3 linked regions of the Stegostoma tigrinum genome follow. The protein of the gene in region 3 purifies or fractionates together with the protein of the main gene of each other region. This does not show direct contact. Links are inferred from orthologs where the notes say so. Each region holds a gene or a part of one and is shown on either strand. Other genes may lie near its edges.

Region 1 (8,182 bases), on a different chromosome or scaffold from region 3:
GTGGCGGCAACTTGCATATGGAGTCAGAGGAGGTAGGGGAGGTCCTTAATGAATACCTTGCTTCAGTATTCACCAGTGAGAGGGACTTTGACGTTTGTGAGGACAGTGTGAAATGGGCAGATATGCTTGAACAGGCTGATGTTAGGAAGGACGATGTGCTAGAAATTTTGAAAAGCATGAGGATAGTTAAGTCCCCTCATCCAGACAGGATATACCCAAGGTTACTACGGGAAGCAAGGGAAGAGATTGCTGCCCCTTTGGTGAAGATCTTTGCATCCTCACTGTCTACTCGATTAGTACAAGATGATTGGAGGTTGGCAAATGTCATTCCCTTGTTCAAGAAAGGGAATACCAATAATCCTGGGAATTAGGACCAGTCAGTCTTACTTCTGTGGTGGGCAAATTATTGGAGAGGATTCTGAGATAGTATTTATGATTATTTGGGAAAGTACAATTTGATTAGAAATAGTCAGCATGGCTTTGTGAGGGGCAGTTCATGCCTCACAAGCCTTACTAAATTTTTTGAGGTTGTGACAAAACATATTGATGAAGGCAGAGCAGTGGATGTGATGTATATGGATTTTAGCAGGGCATTTGATAAGTTTCTCCATGGTAGGCTCATTCAGAAAGTAAGGAGGCATGGGATTTAGGGAAATTTGGTTGTCTGGACACAAAACCAGGTGTCCAATAGAAGACAGAGGGTGGTAGTAGATGGAAAGTATCCAGCCTGATGCTTGGTGACCAGTGGTGTTGCGCAGGGATTTGTTGTGGGACCTCTGCTCTTTGTGATCTTCTTAAATAACTTGGATGAGGAAGTGGAGGGTGCATTAGTAAGTTTGCCGATGACAAGAAGGTTGGTGGAGTTGTGGATGGCGTGGAGGGCTGTTGTAGGTTGCAATGGGACATTGGAAGGATGCAGAGCTGGGCAAAGAAATGGTAGATGGAATTCAACCCAGAAGTGTAAAGTGATTCGTTTGGAAGGTCAAATTTGAATGCAGAATACAGGGTTAATGACAGGATTCTTGACAGTGTGGAGGAACAGAAAGATCTTGGGGTCCACTTCCACAGGTCCGTCAGATTTGCTTCCCAAGTTGATACGGTTGTAAAGAAGGCGCATGGTGTGTTGTCTTTCATTGGCAGGGGAATTGAGTTTAAGAGCCGTGAGGTTATGCTGCAGCTCTATAAAACCCTGGTTAGACCACATTTGGAATATTGTGTTCAATAGGAAGGATGTGGGAGCTTTAGAGAGGGTGCAGAGGAGATTTACCAGGATGCTGCTTGGACTGAAGGGCAGGTCTTACGAGAAAATGTTGAGGGAGCTAGGGGTTTTTTCACTGGAGCGAAGAAGGATGAGAGGTGACTTGATAGAGGTGTACAAGATGATAAGGCATAGATAGAGTGGATAGCCAGAGACTTTTTCCCAGGGCGGAAACGACTATTATGAGGGGCCATAATTTTAAGATGATTGGAGGAATGTACAGTGGAGATGTCAGAGGTAGGTTCTTTACACAGAGAGTGGTGGGTGTGTGGAATGCGCTGCCAGCAGTGCTAGTACAGTCAGATACTTTACAGACTTTTAAGCGACTCTTGGATAGGCACATGGAATATAGTAAAATGTAGGGTATGCAGGGTAGATTTATCTTAGTAGGATAATAGGTCAGCACAACATTGTGGGCCGAAGGGCCTGCACTGTTCTGTGTTCTATGAAACTATTTGACAACTATCCATAATTATACAGAATATATTTTAATTCATCACTTGTTCTATTAAATGAATATTGCTAATTATTTAAAAATAACCAGTCTCACAACCCTAATTGTAAACCTTTTTTTTCCAGGTAGCTTTGGAACATATAAATCTGCTGATGCATACATCAGTGATTGAACATCAATTGTTAGGAAACTTCTGGAAAAGGTTCTGAGGCACAGAATTTATCACCAGGGCAAATTGGACGTCAAGTTGTCTTAGTGGTGGAAAGCAGAGGGTGCTGGTTGAAGATATTTTTTGGGAGATGCAGGAAGGATGCTCCCTGTGACAGTTCATAACCAAGGGTCACAGATGAGAGGTTGAGAGGAGATCATACAGATGTTTATAAATCAGGAGGGGTATAGATGAAGTGAATGGCAGGTGTCTTTTCCCTAGGGTGGGAGATTTCAAGACAAGGGCACATACTTTTAAGGTGAGAAGAGAAAGATTTAAACATGACATGAGGGGTAATTTTTTTTACACAGAGAGTGGTTCATGTGTGGAATGAAAGTTTAGAGGAAGTGGCTGATGTAGTACAGTTACAACGTTTAAAATAAATTTAGATAAGTACATGAACAAGAAATGTTTAGATGGGATATGGGCCAAGCACAGGCTGGTGGCTAGATTAGTTTGGGATTATGGCCGGCAAGGAAGTGTTGGACCAAATGGTTTGCTTTCATGCTGTCTGACTCTATAGCTCTATGACTGGAGGCCTGTATCCAGTGGTGTATTACAAGGTTCAATGCTGGGCCCTTTGTTTTTAATGGATGTTAATGATTTGGGCAGAAGTAAAGGAGATTTTATCAGTAAGTTTGTAGATGAACTAAAATTGGTAGCGTGGTAAATAGTGAATGGGAAAGAGTTGGGCTACAGGAAAATACAGACAAGCTGAACAGATAGGTGAAACAAAAGCAGAAAGAGTTTAAGCCTAAAAGGCATGAAGTGATGTGTTTTGGGAGGACTGACAAGGCAAGAATGTACATAATGAATGGTTGGATCCTGTGTGGTGTGAAGGATCAGCGGGACCTTGGAGTACCTGTATACAGATCTTAGAAGGCAACTGGACAAATGATTAAGAAGGGTGATTTAGAAGACATACGGAGTATTCACCTTTATTAATCAAGGCGTGAAATACAAGACCTGGGATGGAATGATGGAGCTGTATGGGAAGTTAGCTAAGAAACAACTGGAATACTGCATGTAGTTCTGGTGACCACTTTTTGGAAAAAATGTGATTGCTCTGGAGATGATGCAGAACAAATTCACCAGGATGGTTGACTGGGCTGGTGTGTTCCAGCTGTAAAGAGAGACTACACAGGCTGGGGTTATTTTACGAGGAGCACAGAAGGCTGAGGGGAATTGATTGAGGACTACAAAATCAGGAGCAGCATACATAGTTATGTTAGAAATAGCTCTCCTTAGTGGAGGGGGCACAGATTTAAGGCAGGGGGCAGGAAGTTCAGAGAGGATTCATGGAATTCTTTTTCCACACAGTGTAGTGGATATCAGGAACTCATTGCATGAAAGCATCGTATGAATCATTACAACATTTAAGAAGTATTTAGATGAATACTGGAAACACCACAGTTTAATGGGCTATGGAACAAATACTGAGAAACAGGATTAGAAAAGTAGATCCTTAAAGGCTGGCGTGGACTCAGTGGGCTGATCTGCCTCTTTCCATGCTGTAATACTCTGTGACTTGACTTAGCCAAAGTACGTGTCACTGAATCAACACTACTAAAACATCTGACCCAATATTTGTAATACTTAGCCTATGCAAAGAACAACTTAGTTTCTCACAATAACATTAATTCATATCTGCTATTTGCATCTCTTGCCCAATGTGAAGAGTACTCCCAGCATCCCCACAACAGTCAATCTAATCTAAATTTGTATCTTTCTTTAGAACCGTAAAAACATTTAGTCCCTAAATCATTCTTGTCACAAATCATCATTGTAGTGTTTGCTTTACTGTGATGGTAGACTCACTGGAGCCCAGTGCATCCAAACTATAATTCCTTGTTCTTACTTACAGCTATAACACAGCATTTGACACTTCAAAAATGCCAACTTGAAGATTTTCCTTTCTACAACATATCCAATTTATCATTATAAAGGAGACTTTCATCTCTTAGCTGATGTACAGTACAATTTGATAATTTAATCCTTATCAACTACACAAATGTGCAAATGAGGTGAAGTCCAACAATATTTTCACTGCACATTCCCAACCCCTTCCTAATATAATTCTTCTCTCACTGAACTACAACTGCAGTTGTTTGTTAAACTCGCAGAAAGCGGTCAGAGAAAATTCTACACTGACTTTCAAAATGCCAAAACAGTCATGACAGGCAGGCTTCTTCTATCTTATGATTATTTATAATCCATCAAATAAAGCACCAGCTTTATTTGTAACATCCCTGCTTTCCACCCATATCACACTTTGTTCTTTCTTACTCTTTGATTTCCATCTTTTCCCTATAGCTCTGCCCTTATTTAAAAGATTTTTTTTCATTTCTGGATAAGAACAGGCCTGTTGAACCATTTCATTAGATCAGGGTTGAATGGACAAGCTTGAACTGTTAAAGATAACAAAGTGTGGGGCTGATGAACCCAGCAGGCCAAGCGCCAAGCAGCATCTTAGGGTCCTAAGATGCTGCTTGGCCTGCTGTGTTCATCCAGCCTCACACTTTGTTATCTTGGATTCTCCAGCATCTGCAGTTCCCATCATCCTTGAACAAATAAAGTCATGCCTCATGTTTTGACTAACCTATCAGAGGAAATCAGTTTCTTTAATCATCTTAAACAGCTCAATTAGTTCAGCCTTAATTTTCTAAATTCAAAGTAACAAAGGCATAGTGTACAGAATCTGTCCTAATTTAAACATTTTAGCCCTATTATCAGTTCAGTTTACGTGCTCTGCAGCCTGAAGGCCAATTTCAGAGCTGAATACAGTACTCCAGCCCTGTACCTTATTTTTCCACTTTGTTAACTTCTTGAGCTAAAATAAACCAATATCGCGATAATAAAATTAATTTCTGATGAAGGGGACCTGTGATATTGGTCTACATTAGTGAAATTGGCCTTATGATTCTCGAATAGCAATTGCAATTTATTTTCTCTACATACAGCTTGCAGCCTATCTTTGCTGTTGTCATTCTCTGGAGGGATTTCTGCAGCACAGCCAGTGTTTAAAGTTGAGTTCATACATTTTTGTTTCGGACGCACTCCAACCTAGTTAGCCTGCCTCGGGTTACAGAAAAGGGGGAAGTTGCAGGAAAGACAGTATTTTACTGTAGCAAACTGGGTTGACAGGGCGGAGCCAAGATTGGCGCGAGCGCAAGTGAGAGTTGGAAGGTTGTCCTGGGGGCGGGGGCCCCCCGTTTTGCTGGGTCGCATGCTCCGGGCCGGGATTCCAGAGACAATGCAGAAACCAGCGCTACAGAACATTCAGAATGTTACACTGAGCCTCACCCTGCCCATCTCATGTCAGATCTGCTTGGGGAAGGTACTGTACGGCCGCGGGGGTGTGGGGGGAGGTGGTGTAAAGAGTGCAAGGAGGCGGAGAGGCTCTTCCTGTATTGCAACCGCTCCAGTCGGGAAAAGATGCATGTTTTCTCTCTTTTTCCATTGCAGTGTTTTTTTAATAAACAAAACATATATTTCTTTTCGAAGTGAATCCACCATCCCCGTCCCCTGCTGATTGCAGCTTAGAAAATTAATGGTGTCGAAAATTGGGACGAGAAACCGGAAACTTTTGTTTTACTCTTTGTTTTAAGAACCCAGTTCATTTCTTTAAATCGTTGCAAACTTTGTGAACCTTTGTGCGCTGCTGTAAAATTCAGAAAGGAAAGGAACGGAAATCGGTGGACACTCTCTTTTTCAGGTTTAAATTATCACTTCCGCATTATTTTGTCGTTTGGTCAAAACGTGTTGTTGAATGGCAACCGGATCCTTGAACAACTCTGTCAGAAAATTCATGTCAATGAACACTTCCAGAAACTGTTACGTTGTGCTTTTTTCCCCCAGTAATTTTTAAAGCATTTTGTATATTTTTAATTCGACTCGACATTTGCCATACATAACTCGAAGTCACTTTCAAACCATTCCACAATGAAGAAAGTAGTTTTATTTCCAGTATGTACTATTTCCCTGTCAACTCTAATCGTGGCGTAGCCATGTGTGACAGCAAACAGAAAGGATCTTGATTGTAGCCCAATGGGGATGATCCGGTTCCGTAGGCCACCCTCCTGCAAAAATTCCATCCCCTATTCCCAATTCCTCCGCCTCCGCATCTGCTCCCATGATGAGGCATTCCACTCCCGCACATCCCAGATGTCCAAGTTCTTCAAGGACCGCAGCTTTCCCCCACAGTGGTCGAGAACGCCCTTGACCGCGTCTCCCGCATTTCCCGCAACACATTCCTCACACCCCGCCCCCGCCACAACCGCCCTAAGAGGATCCCCCTCGTTCTCACACACCACACCACCAACCTCTGGATACAACGCATCATCCTCCGACACTTCCGCCATCTACAATCCGACCCCACCACCCGAGACATTTTTCCATCCCCACCCCTGTCTGCTTTCCGGAGAGACCACTCTCTCCGTGACTCTCTTGTTTGCTCCACACTGCCCTCCAACCCCACCACACCCGGCACCTTCCCCTGCAACCGCAGGAAATGCTACACTGGCCCCCACACCTCCTCCCTCACCCCTATCCCAGGCCCCAAGATGACTTTCCATATTAAGCAGAGGTTCAACTGCACATCTGCCAGTGTGGTATACTGTATCCATTGTACACAGTGTGGCTTCCTCTACATTGGGGAAACCAAGCAGAGGCTTGGGGACCGCTTTGCAGAACACCTCCGCTCGGTTCGCAGTAAACAACTGCACCTCCCAGTCGCGAACCATTTCCACTCCCCCTCCCATTCTTTAGATGACATGTCCATCATGGGCCTCCTGCAGTGCCACAATGATGCCACCCGAAAGTTGCAGGAACAGCAACTCATATTCCGCTTGGGAACCCTGCAGCCCAATGGTATCAATGTGGACTTCACCAGCTTCAAAATCTCCCCTACCCCCACTGCGTCCCAAAACCAGCCCAGTTCGTCCCCTCCCCCCACTGCACCACACAACCAGCCCAGCTCTTCACCTCCACCCACTGCATCCCAAAACCAGTCCAACCTGTGTCTGCCTCCCTAACCTGTTCTTCCTCTCACCCATCCCTTCCTCCCACCCCAAGCCGCACCTCCATCTCCTACCTACTAACCTCATCCCACCTCCTTGACCTGTCCATCTTCCCTGGACTGACCTATCCCCTCCCTACCTCTCCACCTATCTTCTTTTCTCTCCATCTTCGGTCCACCTCCCCCTCTCTCCCTATTTATTCCAGATCTTTCTCCCCATCCCCCTCTCTGATGAAGGGTCAAAGCCCGAAACATCAGCTTTTGTGCTCCTGAGATGCTGCTGGGCCTGCTGTGTTCATCCAGCCTCACATTATTTTGAATGTACTTGCAAGATATTGCTCTTTTGTGCTTATTGAAGACTATTTGCGTGAGTACAAAAAAAGTTCAAAAATAAATACTTGCATCTATCAACCTTTATCAGTCTCATGACCTCTTTGCCATTTTACCTCCAATGTGACAATGTTGAAATGTGATCATTGTAATGTAGGAAACACAGGGGTCAATTTGCACAAAGTTAGCTTTCACAACCATCAATGATATAGTGACCAGATAGTTTGATTTAAGTATCATCATAGGAGTGAATAGTGGCCAGAGTCAGAAAATCAGTTTATATTCACTGAGAGAGCACCTGGGACCTCTGCTTAAATTGCATCCCAAGGTCATCCCCTCCACAGCGCAGAGTTTTAATACATTGAAGTGCTGACCTAGGTTATTTGCTCGAGTTTGGACTGGGACTGGAATACAAGAACTTTGCTCGAGCAAGACACAAATCAGCTCTGTGATCAACTTTAATTTCTATCATTATGACGAAAAGTTTGAGAAGTTTACTTACTGGTTACACGTGAGCAGAGGTAATGTCAATCTCTTGATTACAGTATTATGACTTTCTGGATGTTGCTTTGTAAGTAGTTGCAGTTTGTTTTTGGAGTTATAACTCTCACCAGTTCATCATTTTATCTTATAGAAATCTATAAAATTCTAACAGGAATAGACAAGCTAAATGCAGGAAAGATGTTCCCAATGACTGTTGAGTCCAGAATGAGGAGGTCACAGTCTAAGGATACAAGGTAGGCCATTTAGGACTTAGAGAGAAATTTCTTCACCTAGAGGTTAGGGAGCCTGTGGAATTTTCTGCAACAGAAAGCAGCAGAGGCCAAAACATTGAATGTTTTCAAGAAGGAATTAGATGTAGTTCTTAGGGCTAAAGTGATCAAAGGGGAGGGGAGAAAATAGGAACAGGGTACT
Region 2 (7,677 bases), on a different chromosome or scaffold from region 3:
TAATCGCACATCATTGCTCTTCCACTTGTCTGGCCTTATTTAATTTTGCAGACAAACGGATAATTAAGGTTGAAGGGGGTCCGTATCCTTCATATGTGGATTACTTCTGTTACTAATTTGTTACATTTACATAGGAATGCAGAATAATTGACAGACACATTGCACAATTAAGGCAGACATAACTCATTGGAACTCTCTGCCTAAAAAATATTTTAAAAGTATTTAAATGATTATTTGAAGTGCCATCGCATTCAAGGTTATGGATCAAGTGCTATAAAATGGAACTAGAGTAGATAGGTACTTGATTGATTGATTTATTGTCACATGTACCAGAGTACAGTGAAAGGTTTTGTTAACAAGCAGTACAGATGTTGCACGGGCTGACGAGTCCCTTCCCATGTAGCAAAATTCTTCTCACTTCAGGAAGTATCACTCAGGGTTCGGAATCAGTGTAGGCAATCTAGGTCCAGATGCAAGGACAACTGCATGAGGACAGAGTGAAGATTTGTTAAGAATTGGACTCTACTAGTCCTAAGAACTAGAAGCAGGAGTGGGCAACTCAACTTCTTGAGCCTGCTCTGTCCTTTAAAACAATCATGGCTGATCATAGCTTGGACCCAACACCACCGCTCCCTATAACCTGGAACTAATTAAGAATCTACCTGCTTCCTCAAGGAACTGTCTCAGGAACTGAATAATTACTTTGTGTCAGTCTCCATGGTGGAAGTCACAAGTAATATCTCAAAAATTCAAGAGAGTCGGGGCAGAGCTGGGTGTGGTGGCCATCACCATGGAAAAGATGCTACTAAAACTGATTGGCCTGAAGATGGACAAGTTCCCTGGACCAGATGGGCTGTACCCCAGAGTTCTCAAGGAGATAGTGGAAGCGTTAGTGGTGAATTTTCAGGAATCACTAGAGTCAGGGAGGGTTTTAGAGAACTGGAAAATCACTAACGTGACATCCCTGTTTAAGAAGGGAGTAAGGCAAAAGATGGAAAATCCAGGCCAATTAGCCTAACCTTGGTCGCGGGCAAGATTTTGGAGTCCGTTGTGAAGGATGAGATTTCTGAATATTTGTAAGTGTACGGTAAAGTAGGACATAGTCAGAATGATTTCATCATGGGGAGGTCATGCCTGACAAATCTGCTAGAATTCCTTAAGGAAGTAACGAGCAGGGTAGAGCAAGGAGAGCCAATGGATGTTATCTACCTGGGCTTCAAGAATGCCTTTTGATAAGGTGCTACACAGGAGACTGCTGAGTCAGATAAGGGCCCACAGTGTTAGAGGCAGCATGCTAACATGGATAGAAGATTGGCAGTCTGGCAGAAAGCAGAGAGTAGGGATAAAGGGGTCTTTCTCAGGATGGCAATGGTGATGAGTGGAGTTCCACAAGGCTTGGTGTTGGGACCATAACTCTTCACTTTGTACATTAATGATCTAGATGAAGGAACTGCGGGCATTCTGGCTACGTTTGCACACAATACAAAGATAGGTGAAGGGACAGGTAGTACTGAGGAGGTGGCGAGGCTGCAGGAAGACTTGGACAGGTCAAGAGTGGGAAAAGAACTGCCAGATGGAGTACAATGTGGGAAAGTCTGAGATCATGCACTTTGGTAAGAAGAACAAAAGCATGTACTATTTCCTAAATGGGGAGAAAATTCAGAAGTCTGAAGTGCAAAAAGACTTGGGAGTTCTAGTCCGGTGTTCTCGCAAGGTAAACTTGCAGGTTGAGTCAGTAGCAGGAACGCAAATGCAATGTTGGCATTTATTTTGAGAGGACTTGAATATAAAAGCAGGGATGCACTACCAAAGCTTTATAAGGCTCTGGGCAGACCACATTTGGAGTATTGCATGCAGTTTTGGGCCTCATGTCTCAGGAAGGATGTACTGGCCGTGGACAGGGTTCAGAGGAGGTTACTGAGAATGGTCCCAGGAATGGAAAGCTTAACATATGAGGAACATTTGAGGACTCTGGGGCTATACTCACTGGAGTTTAGAAGGATGAGGGGGAGTCTAATTGAAACTTTCAAAATACTGAATGACCTGGACAAACTGGATGTTGGGAAGATGTTTCCATTGGTAGGACCCGAGGGCACAGCCTTAGAGTAAAGAGAAGGCCTTTTAGAATGGAGATAAGGAGAAACTTCTTCAGCCAAGGAGTGGTGAATTTATGGAATTCCCTGCCACAAAAGGCCGTGGACGCCAGGTCATTGAGTACATTTAAGACTGGGATAGATAGGTTATTGATTATCAAAGGGATCAAGGGTTGTTGGAAGAAAGCTGGAGAATGGGGTTGAGGAACTTATCAGCCATGATTGAATGGCACAGCAGACTTGAGGGGCCAAATGGCCTAATTCCACACCTATGTCTTATGGTCTTATTTGCTCAGTTTCTCAGCAACCTGCTGTACTGAATTCCACAGATTCATGACTCTTTGAGAGAAGTAATTTCTTCTCATCTCTGTTTAAATATACCTTACCTTATCCTAAAACCGTGACCCTTTGTTCTACGATAACAAGGTGTAGAGCTGGATGAACACAGCAGGCCAAGCAACATCAGAGGAGCAGGAAAGCTGACATTTCAGGCCTAGGCACTTCTTCATTTTCTGAAGAAGGGTCTAGGCCCGAAATGTCAGCTTTCCTGCTCCTCTGATGCGGTTTGACCTGTGTTCGTCCAGCTCTACGCCTTATTATCTCAGATTCTCCAACATCTGCAGTTCCTACTATCCCTGAAACCCTTTGTTCTTTATTGTCCCACAAGGGGAAACATCCTGTCTACGTATACTTTGTCAATTTCCTTAAGCATCTTATGTCCTAAAAATGGATCTTCTCTCATTCCCCTCAGCTCTAAGCCATAAAGGCTGAAACCTCTCAAATTCTCCTCTTAAAGCAAGCTTTTTAATCGCTGGATAAAAACCAAACAAACTGTGGATGCTGTAAATCAGGAACAAAAACAGACGTTGCTGGGAAAAGCTCACCAGGTCTGACAGTATCTGTGAAGGAAGAATAAGTTAGGATTCAGTCGTGAGAAAGGGACATTAACTCTGATTATTTTCTTCACAGATGCTGCCAGACCTGCTGAGCTTTCCCAGCAACTTCTGCATTTGTGTTCATCGCTGGAATTAATCAAGGGAACCTAAACTTTCTTAGCAACAAATGTAAAATCTTACAAATAGTTCCTAACATCTATTACAGAGGTACTTAGAAAATCTTTTCTGAATGGTCTCATCCTAATTCTCAGACTATGCACCCCATGTTCAACAATGCCCAACCAGGATCCCACCTTCCACCTCTGGAAAAACTAATGAACCCAACTTCTTCCCTGAAATTAAGGTAGTGAGCGTAACATTTAATCTCAGTTATTAACGGAGTGAAACATGCAACGGAAATTGCTGTTCCCTTCGGTTTGGCATTCTCGCTATGCTGCCCTGAGGCTAGGCAAAAACTGGCACAAGCTCTAGACCACATGACCAGCGGCAAAGTCGCGGGGACAGATGACTACTGGATGTGAGTTTGCTCGCTGAGCTGGAAGGTTAGTTTTCAGACGTTTCGTCACCATTCTAGGTAACATCATCAGTGAGCCTCCGACGAAGCGCTGGTGTTATGTCCCACTTTCTATTTATCTGGTTAGGTTTCCTTGGGTTGGTGATGTCATTTCCTGTGTTGGTGATGTCATTTCCCATTCTTTTTCTCAGGGGATGGTAGATTTGCTCCAAATCAATGTGTTTGTTGATGGAGTTCCGGTTGGAATGCTATGCTTCTAGGAATTCTCGTGCGTGTCTCTGTTTGGCTTGTCCTAGGATGGATGTGTTGTCCCAATCAAAGTGGTGTCCTTCCTTATCTGTATGTAAGGATACGAGTGATAGTGGGCCATGTCGTTTTGTGGCTAGTTGATGTTCATGTATCCTGGTGGCTACCAGCGCTTCATCGGAGGCTCACTGATGATGTTACCTAGAATGATGACGAAACGTCTGAAAACTAACCTTCCAGCTCAGCGAGCAAACTCACTACCTTAATTTCAGGGAAGAAGTTGAGTTCATTAGTTTTTCCAGAGGTGGAAGGTGGGATCCTGGTTGGGCATTGTTGAACATGGGGGACATAGTCTGAGAATTAGGATGAGACCATTCAGAAAAGATTTTCTAAGTACCTCTGTAGAACCTCAACCTGAGCTACAAATCTTCTCAAAACTCACCAACAGATGACTACCACCAGCTAAGCCAATCATCGTTGGGTTTACTCCTCGACGTGCCGACTGCCGGTCTTGACCAATTGGCTTCCGCTTTGGATGAAGGCGCCGGCGTCGACCTGCTTCAAATAAAACCGTGAGAGAGGGAGGGAAAGACTGTAACGTTCGCATGACTTCAAATGCAGTCGCAATGTGGTGATAGAGTCACCGGCGCTGGAGTCGATGAGGAGGAGCCAACTGCCTGAGGCCAGAGATGTCGGACTGATGTAAGGGCAGTTGTTGAAAGGGGCGGGGAGGCGAACCACAACAGTCGCCGCCGTTGGCGGTTATTTGAGTACGGTCCTGGGCTAGGCCCGGTTACCATGGTTTCCGAGTGAGACGCGCACGCAACCGTCACTGGGTTCCAGTGCGCATGTGCTTACCCGGGCCCGGCTGCAACTCGTGACGCTTGCGCAGTACCGGGCCCGGTCTGCGGCACTGCGATGTTACTTCTTGTGCAAGTTACGCTGCTCGCTCATTCATCCAGGGGCACCAGCACTGCAAAAGGTTATTGTTTGTTTAAGAAAACAGTATATATTTTGGCTCTCCTCGCTGTATTGATCGTCAGTCAATGTGCAAATTGTTAAAACTGGCTGTGAAATTGAAACATTTTTCTTTCCTCCTTTCCCGCCCCGCCCCTTCACTGGAGAATTATTGCCTTGTTTAAACAGGTAACGAACTTTTTTGCCGTTTAATTATTGTGTATTTCCGTGTTCCGAATTTCTGGGCTTGAGGTGGAGGTGTGGTTCTCATTGCAACAAGTGCTTTCATACCTAGATGATACGTTTGTGTAGATTGAGACCGAAAAGACGGGTCGTGACCACAGCGAATATGCCCAATAGGGAATTCAGCAGAATCCCGGGAGTGGTGTAACCCTGGAACTCCGGATCGTATGCGGCGAATTTATAGAAAAATTAGAAACGCAGTTGAGAATCAACCAAGTGAGAGAAAAGTGCAGAAGGAAATAAAAAAAGAATTAGAGCTTCGAGCCTACGAACACTACCATAAACCAGTTTGATTGAAAAAAACATTGAATTCGTATTGAAACGTAACTTTTTTTTTAAAGGGACCTTCTCGCTGGTCGTACTGTATTTTAAGTACAGGTCTAGCTGTCAGTTGCTATACCTAACTCCAGTGAGGTAACGAGCTTATAATTAAATATTCTGGGGTTTTGTAATCAGTGCGACTTCACGAATAAATTTAGAAACTGCAAAAAAAAACAGCAAGCCATTGTAGCTGGTGCAGTTTACATAATTATATGCTTGGCACGCCAGTAGCCCAGTTTTGAAATACATTTGGGTGGTGCAGAAAATTACTGGATGAAAAAATACTTACATTTAGAATTATGTTCTGCATTTTTGAGTTGTGAAAAATTCAGTTTCTTGTCACTGTTGTCTAACTCCGCTATTTGTTCAAACCTTTATACTCTGTCAGATCCCTCCCTAATTGGTTTTTTTAAAAAAACAAGGTCTTACAACAAATGAGCAAATTCTGTCCTGTTTGGTGAAGTCATAGTTAAACGTTTTGCTTTGAATTTTTTTCCCCATCTATACCTAATTAAAAATAATAAGGTGTGAAGCTGGATGAACACAGCAGACCGAGCAGGAAAGTTTTTTTTTGCTGTTTTGGGTCAAGATCCTTCTTCAGAAATGGGGGAAGGGGATTCTGAAATAAATAGGGAGAGGGGGGAGGCGGAGATGGATAAAGGAGAAGATAGGGTGAGAGGAGACGGACAAGTCAAAGAGGTGGGCTTAGAGCCAGTGAAGGTGAATGTAGGTGGGGAGTTAGGGAGGGGATAGGTCGATCCAGGGAGGATGGACAGGTCAAAGGGGCGGGATGAAGTTAGTAGGTAGGAGATGGGGTGGGGCTTCAGGTGGGAGGAAGGATGGGTTAGGGAGGTGTGGACAAGCTTGACTGATTTTGGGACGAGGTAACAGGAAGGAAGATTTTGAAGCTTGAATATTTATATGTTGGGTTTTCAAAATTGTAACAACACATAGGATTGTATTTGTAAATACGACTGTTTGTAAATCAGGGAATTCTTTAGCGAGTTTTGAGAAGATTTGGAGCTCACGTTAAGGTTCTGGGTGTGAGTTCACTCGCTGAGCTGGAAGGTTCGTTTTCAGACGTTTCGTCACCATTCTAGGTAACATCATCAGTGAGCCTCCGACGAAGCGCTGGTGTTATGTCCTGCTTTCTATTTATCTGTTTAGGTTTCCTTGGGTTGGTGATGTCATTTCCTGTTCTTTTTCTCAGAGGATGGTAGATGGGCTCCAAATCAATGCGTTTGTTGATGGAGTTCTGGTTGGAATGCCATGCTTCTAGGAATTCTCGTGCGTGTCTCTGTTTGGCTTGTTCTAGGATGGATGTGTTGTCCCAATCAAAGTGGTGTCCTTCCTCATCTGTATGTAAGGATACTAGTGATAGTGGGTCATGTCTTTTTGTGGCTAGTTGATGTTCATGTATCCTGATGGTTAGCTTTCTGCCTGTTTGTCCAATGTAGTGTTTGTCACAGTTCTCGCAAGGTATTTTGTAGATGATGTTCGTTTTGTTGTCTGTACAGGGTCTTTTAAGTTCATTAGCTGCTGTTTTAGTGTGTTGGTGGGTTTGTGGGCTACCCTGATGCCAAGAGGTCCGAGTAGTCTGGCAGTCATTCTGGCAGGGAATTCTTTCTTTTTATTTAGAATGACATGTTCTGGACCCAACCTCAGGACAGGCAATACTAGACCTAGTGTTGTTCAATGTGATGGGATTAATTTGGAGTGCGCTTGTCGCTCGGGAGCAGTAAAAATCAGAATTTTATATCCTATTTTGAAGAGGTGGCTGTGTCCAATACTATTTCAAAGTTGATTAAGACACAAAAGTAGATATTAACTGACAAGCTTGTTTTTTTTAAACTCACTTATGGGATGTGGATATCAATTTCTTTTTTTTTGCCCATTCTTTGATAGTGGTGATGAGCTACATTCTTGAACCATGTATTGCATGTGCTGTAGGTAGATAAAGGATATGTTAATGGATGCGGTGACAGAAATTAGATATATTTCAAAATACCGAGATTAGTTCCAAAAAAGAAATTCCAAATGGAGGACTGGTCGCCCATGTCTAACTTAAAAGCAGTTAATAATAGTATCAACCCGAAAGGAAAAAGCTGGGTGGCAAGGCAGAAGATTAGACACACTGTACATTACAGCAAAGAACGGCTAAAAGATTAAAGAGGGAGTATAAGTGAAGCCAGGTGGGAATATAAAAGACAGTAAGAGTTAACAGACTAAGAATTGATCTCTGGAAAGTGAGTTTGGAGCATTAATGAGATGGATGAATTGAATGGGTAGTTTACATTGGTGTTAGCTATAGAAGATAGTAGTGACATCCCAGGAATAGTTGTAAATCCAGAAATGGAGTGGAGGGAGGAACTCCCAAAAAAAATTGCAAGCAGGGCAGTACTACTTA
Region 3 (7,427 bases):
TCATTTATCATATTGTTTTTTTGTGGGCACTGCTGTGTACATTCCAGCTGCAGTCTTGCCCTACATTGCAATAGTAATAGCACTTAATTGGCTGTAAATGTGCTATGAGGCATAGAATTGTGAAAGATACTGTACTGTAAATTAATTATTTTCCAGCATTTGCCGTCACTTTGATTTTTAATAATTATTTCCTTCTTACTCACAAGCTAACTTTCCTGCTCATAAACATATGCACCCAACAAGTACCAACTGTCAGGAACATGCAAAAAATCCTATTTCTGCCAATATTTCCAAGTGCAAATTTAAAACTACAAAGCGAAAGTTTACAGCAGCATTAAGTGGAAAGAAAGTAAACCAATTCATGGCTGTGACAGTTGACATCTCCTTTAAGGGATTTTAACTTCAAAGGGAAATGATCTTCATGAAAAATGAACTTGCAAACTCATTTTCTACTATTGGAGAAGCAATGAGGCAAGATTCGCCATTATAATTTTGATCCTAACATGCATTGTGCTAAAGTATTTGCAAAAAAGGGCAACGCAGATACTTTTTAATGAAATTAGCTGCATTTTAAAAAAGCATGAACACTCAGACTGCAATTATTGGAGAAAGATATTAACTGGAGATGTGGATTAATTGCAATAACGTTTCATATTTAGCAATAGTATATATTTCATTTGTCACTGCCTTATTGCTTTCATTCGCTTATTGCTTCCATACCATGTATTAATCATCCCTGTTATGCAAGGTAAACTTATTCTTATGGAAAAGAAACAAGAAAAACAATGTCCTATATAATGCACAATAATTGGAATCATGAGCTTGCTTAGACTAGATAACCTTTTAAAAATATACATATGACATTCTAATAGGATTCACCTACTCTTGACATTAAAAAGGAATGAAATTGTTCTCTAGTATCTTCTGAAATTTAGTTATTTTTGCAACAATGATTGATCTTGATGTACTTCTGATACATATCCTCGCAAAATGCTTAACATCAATAATCACACTGTATTGACGTAGTCTAGATTCAGAGCACCACATTTCTAAATTCACAGGAAACGGCCTCAATATATTTCGGGGGAAGATTTGCAGTTTAATGTATTAAGATTTTAAACTATAATTTGTGAACGGAAGATCAAATATCGCCAAAAAAAATCAACTGAAGTGCGCTGCTCAGACTTGGACATTACAGCGTATTTAAAACGTTAACAAATAATCGGCAATTAATAATCAATAAGCAATGATTATTTAATCAGATGTTCTCTGCGGTTGAAGCAAACTAAACAAAATATACTGCGTAATTCTGGATCGAACTAAAGCCAAAATTATACAAACTCTCGAACGGCTTTAACCATTGTACATCGACTACAAGGAAGTGAAAAACGGTTTTGCTGCCGTCATCAAATATATATTGTAAAAATGTTTCACTCCACATCGGCGGGAATAATTTAAACATAAATAGTATCAAAATGCTGAATGTTATCAAGTAACCTGAAGAATCAGAATGAAATACAATGATAAGCATTTAAGAGAAATCGAGGCAACTTTCAAAGTTTATAAATACTACAGGCTGTAATAATGCTGCTTTTGAAAAACTGGAAAAGGCAAAGTGGAATATTTCATCCGGATGTATCAACATCTGCTGTAGACACCGAGTGCTAAAATTTCTCTTCCTCACCTGGAGTTAGATAAGTTGTTGAGGTCGCCGTGCGAATGAAATTCAAGCCACCGCTTTACTCCCTGCTGCTCACAGGCGAAGTGCGTGTTGCCCGGACTTCAACTTACCAACATTGTCCGATTCCAAACGTTGTAGAGAAATCAGAGCAGGCGTCTCCGTCGCTTCAGCAACCGGAGAGTGCATTGGAGATGGCTTAATGTTACCTGGGCTGGAGAAAGAGAGGGTAGAGACTGACAGCTCCGCCTGGCTGGGGGCCAGAGGCAGAGTCTCTGACTGTTTATATATATAAAGACTGATTCATTCAGAGACAAGAAAGAGAGTGGGAGAGTACCGCCTGCCAAAGGCACAACCGCCACTCCGGCTTCTCCAGGCGGGAAGAAAATACAATCAACAGGGGAGAGAAAAAGCTTAGAAAAGTAAACAACAGTCGGGGACAGGGCAATGACAAAAAAAGACTTTCAATGCGGACTTTTCTTCCCCCGAATCACAAGACAAAATAATGCAGATAAGAAACAATGCAGATCCAAATGGAATTTACAAAACCAAATGAGGAAGCATTTTATAATGTGAAATATGAATCCATCCAAGCTCTCGGCGGATTTTTAAAATCCTAGGGCAAGTTTGCAAAATAGAAGCAAACAAGCTATATTTGCGTTTACGCAGCATTATTTATCTATAATGTCTCCAAGTGCTTCACAAAATGGGTTTCTTTCGAATTGCAGCGACTGTTCTAATATAGACAAACGGAGGGCAAGCATGATGTGTCGAAAAACTCGAAGAGCGGAAATATGTTAATAACTTATCGATGTATTTTAGTGCAGTTGGTTATTGTGGTTGGAGATGAATATTGGACGGGATTTCTCTTAGCCAATCATGTCAATAAATCTAAAACTTATGTTAAAATAGAACAAGGACCTCGGTGAAATGGTTCATGTGAAGTACTGTCACCTCGACAAGTTAGCACCACCTCAACAGTTGGTCTCGCTAATAGACAAATCCTGGTCAGCAACTTAGTAAAGCAAACACAAATGTACAGATCGAGAAACGTTGAAATTTTAAGATAGCAACAGAAAACTCTCCAATAAAACGTGCAAACGAAGACTGTAAGACAAATGTCAGGAAAATAATTACATATTGGTCTTGTATAAAGTGCACACTTCAGACCAGCGTGACAGTTAGCTCCGAGGAAGTCATTTTAGACTCGAAACGTTAAATCTGCACAAATGCTGTCAGACATGTTGACTTTCTCCAGCACTTTGTTTTTATTTCATATCTTCCAGCATCCGCAATATTTTGCTTTTATGTTAGCTGTATTTACATGTATCGAAACTACCTGTCACGATGTAAATTTTTCAAATTTTCATGGTTTATGGCTGCCATTTTTTTCACCTGGCCTCCTAACACAGTACAAAGGCCTCCAGGTTTCCTGTGGGCCACATTTCAACAATACCCCTTCTCTATTAGGAAAAGTCTCATAGTTTCTTTTGTCGTTTGTACAACAATGCATTTATTGACCAAGCCCCTCAAACTGCCCCAAGAAAATGGTGGTTCTTCCAACTACTATTAGTTCTAGCTGTAACGAATTCCCACATGATGTTAGGCTGGGGATTCCATGATTTGGATCTAATAGTAATAAAGGAAGTAATATGCATTCAACTCTTTAACTAACAACATTTAGTCTGGATAAAAAAAATATGTTGATGGGAAGTGAGCACTCTGAACAAGACTTATATGAAGCTAATATGACACGTGGCTTAAAAATAAATTCATAGGGATAGCCATTCTAAGTTATTATTACTTCTCTGGGTGAGAAAACTCGTGGGCCATTGAAATAAACCGGGTAATTTACTGAAATTCATACAAGAGGTACAATCTGCAGGGCCAAATTATTCGCACAAATGTTTAAATAAAATCCTTTCGTCATAACATCATGGCTTGTGCGCTAAAATATATTTCACTCTGGAAATTTAGATTTTCTCTTTTGTTAAAGTTAATTTTTCATCTCGTTTGACAACTTTATAATTTGGCATGAATTAGATTTTTAAAAAATTAGGCTAAACAAATATTAAGGATACATTACTGTGCAAATATTGAGGATACTTTGTTGTAAAGACACAATTTTGTATAATTATATGAAGCCAAATTTGACAAGATAAAATAGCGAATTTTGAGTCACTGACTCTGATCCTCTATTGAGCAGGAAAATAATAGATACTGCAGGATGTTATTGTATTCGATCAATTTGCTATGACCACTTTTCTTCATTCCCTACCTTTGCTGAAGGAACCTCATTCCCAAATATGACAATCTCAGAAAACGGTTGATCCCGCACACCCGCCAATCATTATAAACTACATCTCCCAGAATGCTGCAGCGGCCGCTTTTTCGTTGTACCCAGATTCCATTGGTGGATATCGTTGTCAATCAAAGCGGTAACTATGTATTTCCTGTTATTTGGCTGTCTTCAGATCCCTTCAGTTGACGGTTCTCTGGAATTTGAAAATTGTTGTAGAGTTAGACGGTGACGTGGATGGTTCGGTCTAATCCAACCAAACGTGACAAGGTGAAGGAGCCGCACAGGTCGAGGACGGAGTGAGGAGGAGCCTTGTTGTGGACAGGCCGAGGACGGAGTGAGGAGGAGCCTTGTTGTGGACAGGCCGAGGACGGAGTGAGGAGGGGACCTCGTTGTGGACAGGCCGTGGTGATGAATTTCTCCGAACTGTTCAAACAGTCGAATCAACTGTGCAGGCTGTCGCCTGACGGGAAATATTCTGTAAGTGTGTGATTTAATCTTAATAGATTCGATAGGGTACACGCAGGAGAAATATTCCTGTTGACCGGGGGTCAGAACCAGGTGATGTAGCCTAACGGCAGGCCGAAAATGAGACATTTCTTCATCCGGAGACTGGTGAACTTGTGGAGTGCTCTCCAACTCGTCCACGCTGAGTTTCCCAACATAAATTAATCCCACTTGCCTGCATTTGGTTTATATCCCACTAAAGCTTTCCTATTCGTGTATCGATCCAAATATCTTCTAAATGTTCTCACTGTACTTGGATCTACCACTGCCTCTGGTAGTTCATTCCACATTCCAACCGCTCTATATGTGGAAACAGTTGGCTTTCAGGTCCCTTTTAAATCTTTTTCCTCCCACTTTTAAAATATGCCCCCCCCCTGCAACCTAGAGAAAAGAGCTTTCCTACTTGCCTTATCTGTGCTCCCTCATGATTTTATAAACCTCTATAATGTCACCCCTCAACCTCCAATGCTTGAGTTTCTTTGTAACTCAAACTGGTCAGTCCTGGTAAATCTTTTGTAAACCCTCTCCAATTTTACAATTATAGCCTATAGCAGGGTGACCAGAACTGTCCACTACATCAAAAGTGCCCTTAACCAACTTCCTGTACAACCTTAATATGACATCCCAACTCCCATACTCAGTTGTCTGAGCAGTGAAGGTAAGTGGGCTAAAAGCTGCCACGACTACCCAGTCTACCGGTGATGCAATTTCCAAAGAACTATGTGCCTGAACCCTAGAGCTCTCTGTTCAACAGTGCTATCCAGGGCCTTAACAATAACTGTGTAAGTCCTGCCCTTGTTTATCTTACAAAAGCGCAATAACCTCTCATTTATCCAAATTAAACTCTATTTGCCTGTCAGCCCATTGACCCAGCTGAAGACGGAGTTAGATATATTTTGGGGCTAAAGGGATCAAAGGCTTTTGGGAGAAAGCAGGAGCAGGGTACTGAGTTGGATAATTGTGTTGAATGGCAGAGCAAGCTCGAAGGGCTGAATAGTCAATTTCTGCTCCTATTTTCCATGTTTCTATCAAGTCAGTAACTAGTTGTTGATAGCTGACCACTTTGCTTCCCTTTTGTATCCTTATTGTCTGTTTTCTTCCAGTTTGGCCCATGTAATGTCTCTCTCAGTCCTTGCGTAGTATTTTGTTTATTACATTAGTTTTATTGGTTGTGGGTATGGGATCCTTTACTTTTGTCTGTTGCTGTCGCAGGGCAGTTGTTCGTTTGTGGGCTACCCCGATACCTAGGGATCTGAGTAATTTTGTGGTCATCTCTGATATGTCTCTGATGTATGGTTGGGTGACTAGTGTGTCTGTCTATGTTATGTGTTGTTGTGGTCTGTTGCAGGTAACGGCAGATTGTGCTTTTTGGTTATCCATTCCTTTTTTAAAAACTGTATAAGTGCTGCTGTTCTGCATTGTGCAATTCCGGATTGCACCATTACCTCCTAGGAAGGGCTATTGTTCTCTTCTATTTTTGTGAATTTTATTTCAGTGATGTTGTTGTTTATGTGCCGGTGGGTTTCTTCTAGTCTTGTGCATATGATAATCACGAAGGTGTCATCTACATAGCGGACCCAGATTTGCGTTGTATAATGGGGAGCCTTGTCCATTCTAACCTTTGCATTATCACTTCTGCGATCAGTTCCCCAATCTCAATGTAGATGACATGCAGGGACTAAGGAACATGGGCCAAACTGAAATTAAGGATACACGAACACCAACTACCCACCAAGAGACATGACCAATTCTCACTGATCTCAAAACACACAGACAAAGGAGGACACAAATTCTACTGGGACAACACCTCCATAATAGCACAAGTCGGACAGAAACATGTTTGGGAATTCCTGGAGGCCTGGCATTCCAACTAGAACTCCATCAACAAACATTTTGAACTGAACCCCATATACAAACTACTGAAAAACAGAGCTGGAAGTAATGCCAACCACCCCAGCAAACCAAGGTATATAAATGTCAACAAGCTTGACAGAACACCAATGCTTCATTGGAGGCACACTGACAGTGTTACCTAGCAAGGTAAAATGCCGGAGGAATCCGGCTTTGAATGCATAGGGGAAAGTACAAAATATCAAATTGAAGAGCAAGAGTAGGTCATCTGACTGTTTTGATCTCGAAGTTGAATCCAGAAGGCAGAAAAGAGCACCTCATTTGCGGATTAGGCATTTTGAAATCATCTGACTCCAACATTGAGTGAGTTCAATAATTTGAGACCATTAATTCCTGTCCTCTATTTTATTATGTTTCCCACAACCCAGTGGCAATCTTTCATGACATGGCTTTTGGTCAGAGCTGATCTTTATTCTGCTATTAAACAGGCTCAGAAAACACAGACCCCAGTGCTGCTCCTATCCTGGGACTCTGATCTGAGTGCAGTAAAGCCGTGGGCACCAGTTATTGGCCCTGATATTGGGATCTGTTCCAGACCCATGCTTTGATCTGTCTTTTGGTTTCTCAACTCCATTATTCTCTAACCCTTTTGTGACCTTATCCTTCCGTTTCACTTGCTTGCTGTCTCCCCACCGAGCCCCCCTCCTTTTCAACAGTATAAATTCTGTCACATTTCCACTACTTCTCTTCAGTTTTGAAGAAAAATTGAAACGGATTTTAAATGTTAAGCCTGTTTCTCTTTCCACAGATGCTGCCAGACCTCCTGAGTTTCTCCTGCACTTTGTATATTTTAACATGGGTTTTTAAAAAAATGTTATCTCATTGAAGTTTGTGAAACCTTACATAACATTGATACCAAGAAGCATATGGAACAGTAAACCTTGGAATGCATGTCCACCAATCACCCCAAAGTGGCTGCACAGGTAGTTAAGGTGATCAAAAAGGCACAGTGAGTGCTTGCCTTTCTTAGCAGAGGAATAGAATAGGAAATCAGATAAGACCCAGCATACCCTACTTATAAATTGATAGTTA

The links.
Region 1: the proteins of wrap73 (region 3) and obi1 purify together in Homo sapiens (affinity purification with mass spectrometry; 3 studies listed by BioGRID and IntAct, counting the BioPlex papers as one, with this or other methods). This does not show direct contact. The link is inferred for Stegostoma tigrinum from reciprocal best matches to the Homo sapiens genes WRAP73 and OBI1.
Region 2: the proteins of wrap73 (region 3) and ssx2ipa purify together in Homo sapiens (co-immunoprecipitation; 4 studies listed by BioGRID and IntAct, counting the BioPlex papers as one, with this or other methods). This does not show direct contact. The link is inferred for Stegostoma tigrinum from reciprocal best matches to the Homo sapiens genes WRAP73 and SSX2IP.

What each region holds. Positions count from the first base shown.
Region 1 is NC_081359.1:29,298,985-29,307,166, reverse strand, and holds the start of obi1 (ORC ubiquitin ligase 1), read left to right. Parts: upstream 1-5,069; 5' UTR 5,070-5,146; coding exon 5,147-5,257; intron 5,258-8,182. UniProt on the Homo sapiens protein: E3 ubiquitin ligase essential for DNA replication origin activation during S phase.
Region 2 is NC_081361.1:98,998,584-99,006,260, reverse strand, and holds the start of ssx2ipa (synovial sarcoma, X breakpoint 2 interacting protein a), read left to right. Parts: upstream 1-4,564; 5' UTR 4,565-4,667; coding exon 4,668-4,731; exon of another isoform or gene 4,732-4,895; intron 4,896-7,677. UniProt on the Homo sapiens protein: Belongs to an adhesion system, which plays a role in the organization of homotypic, interneuronal and heterotypic cell-cell adherens junctions (AJs).
Region 3 is NC_081381.1:22,370,786-22,378,212, reverse strand, and holds the start of wrap73 (WD repeat-containing protein WRAP73), read left to right. Parts: upstream 1-4,128; 5' UTR 4,129-4,388; coding exon 4,389-4,457; intron 4,458-7,427.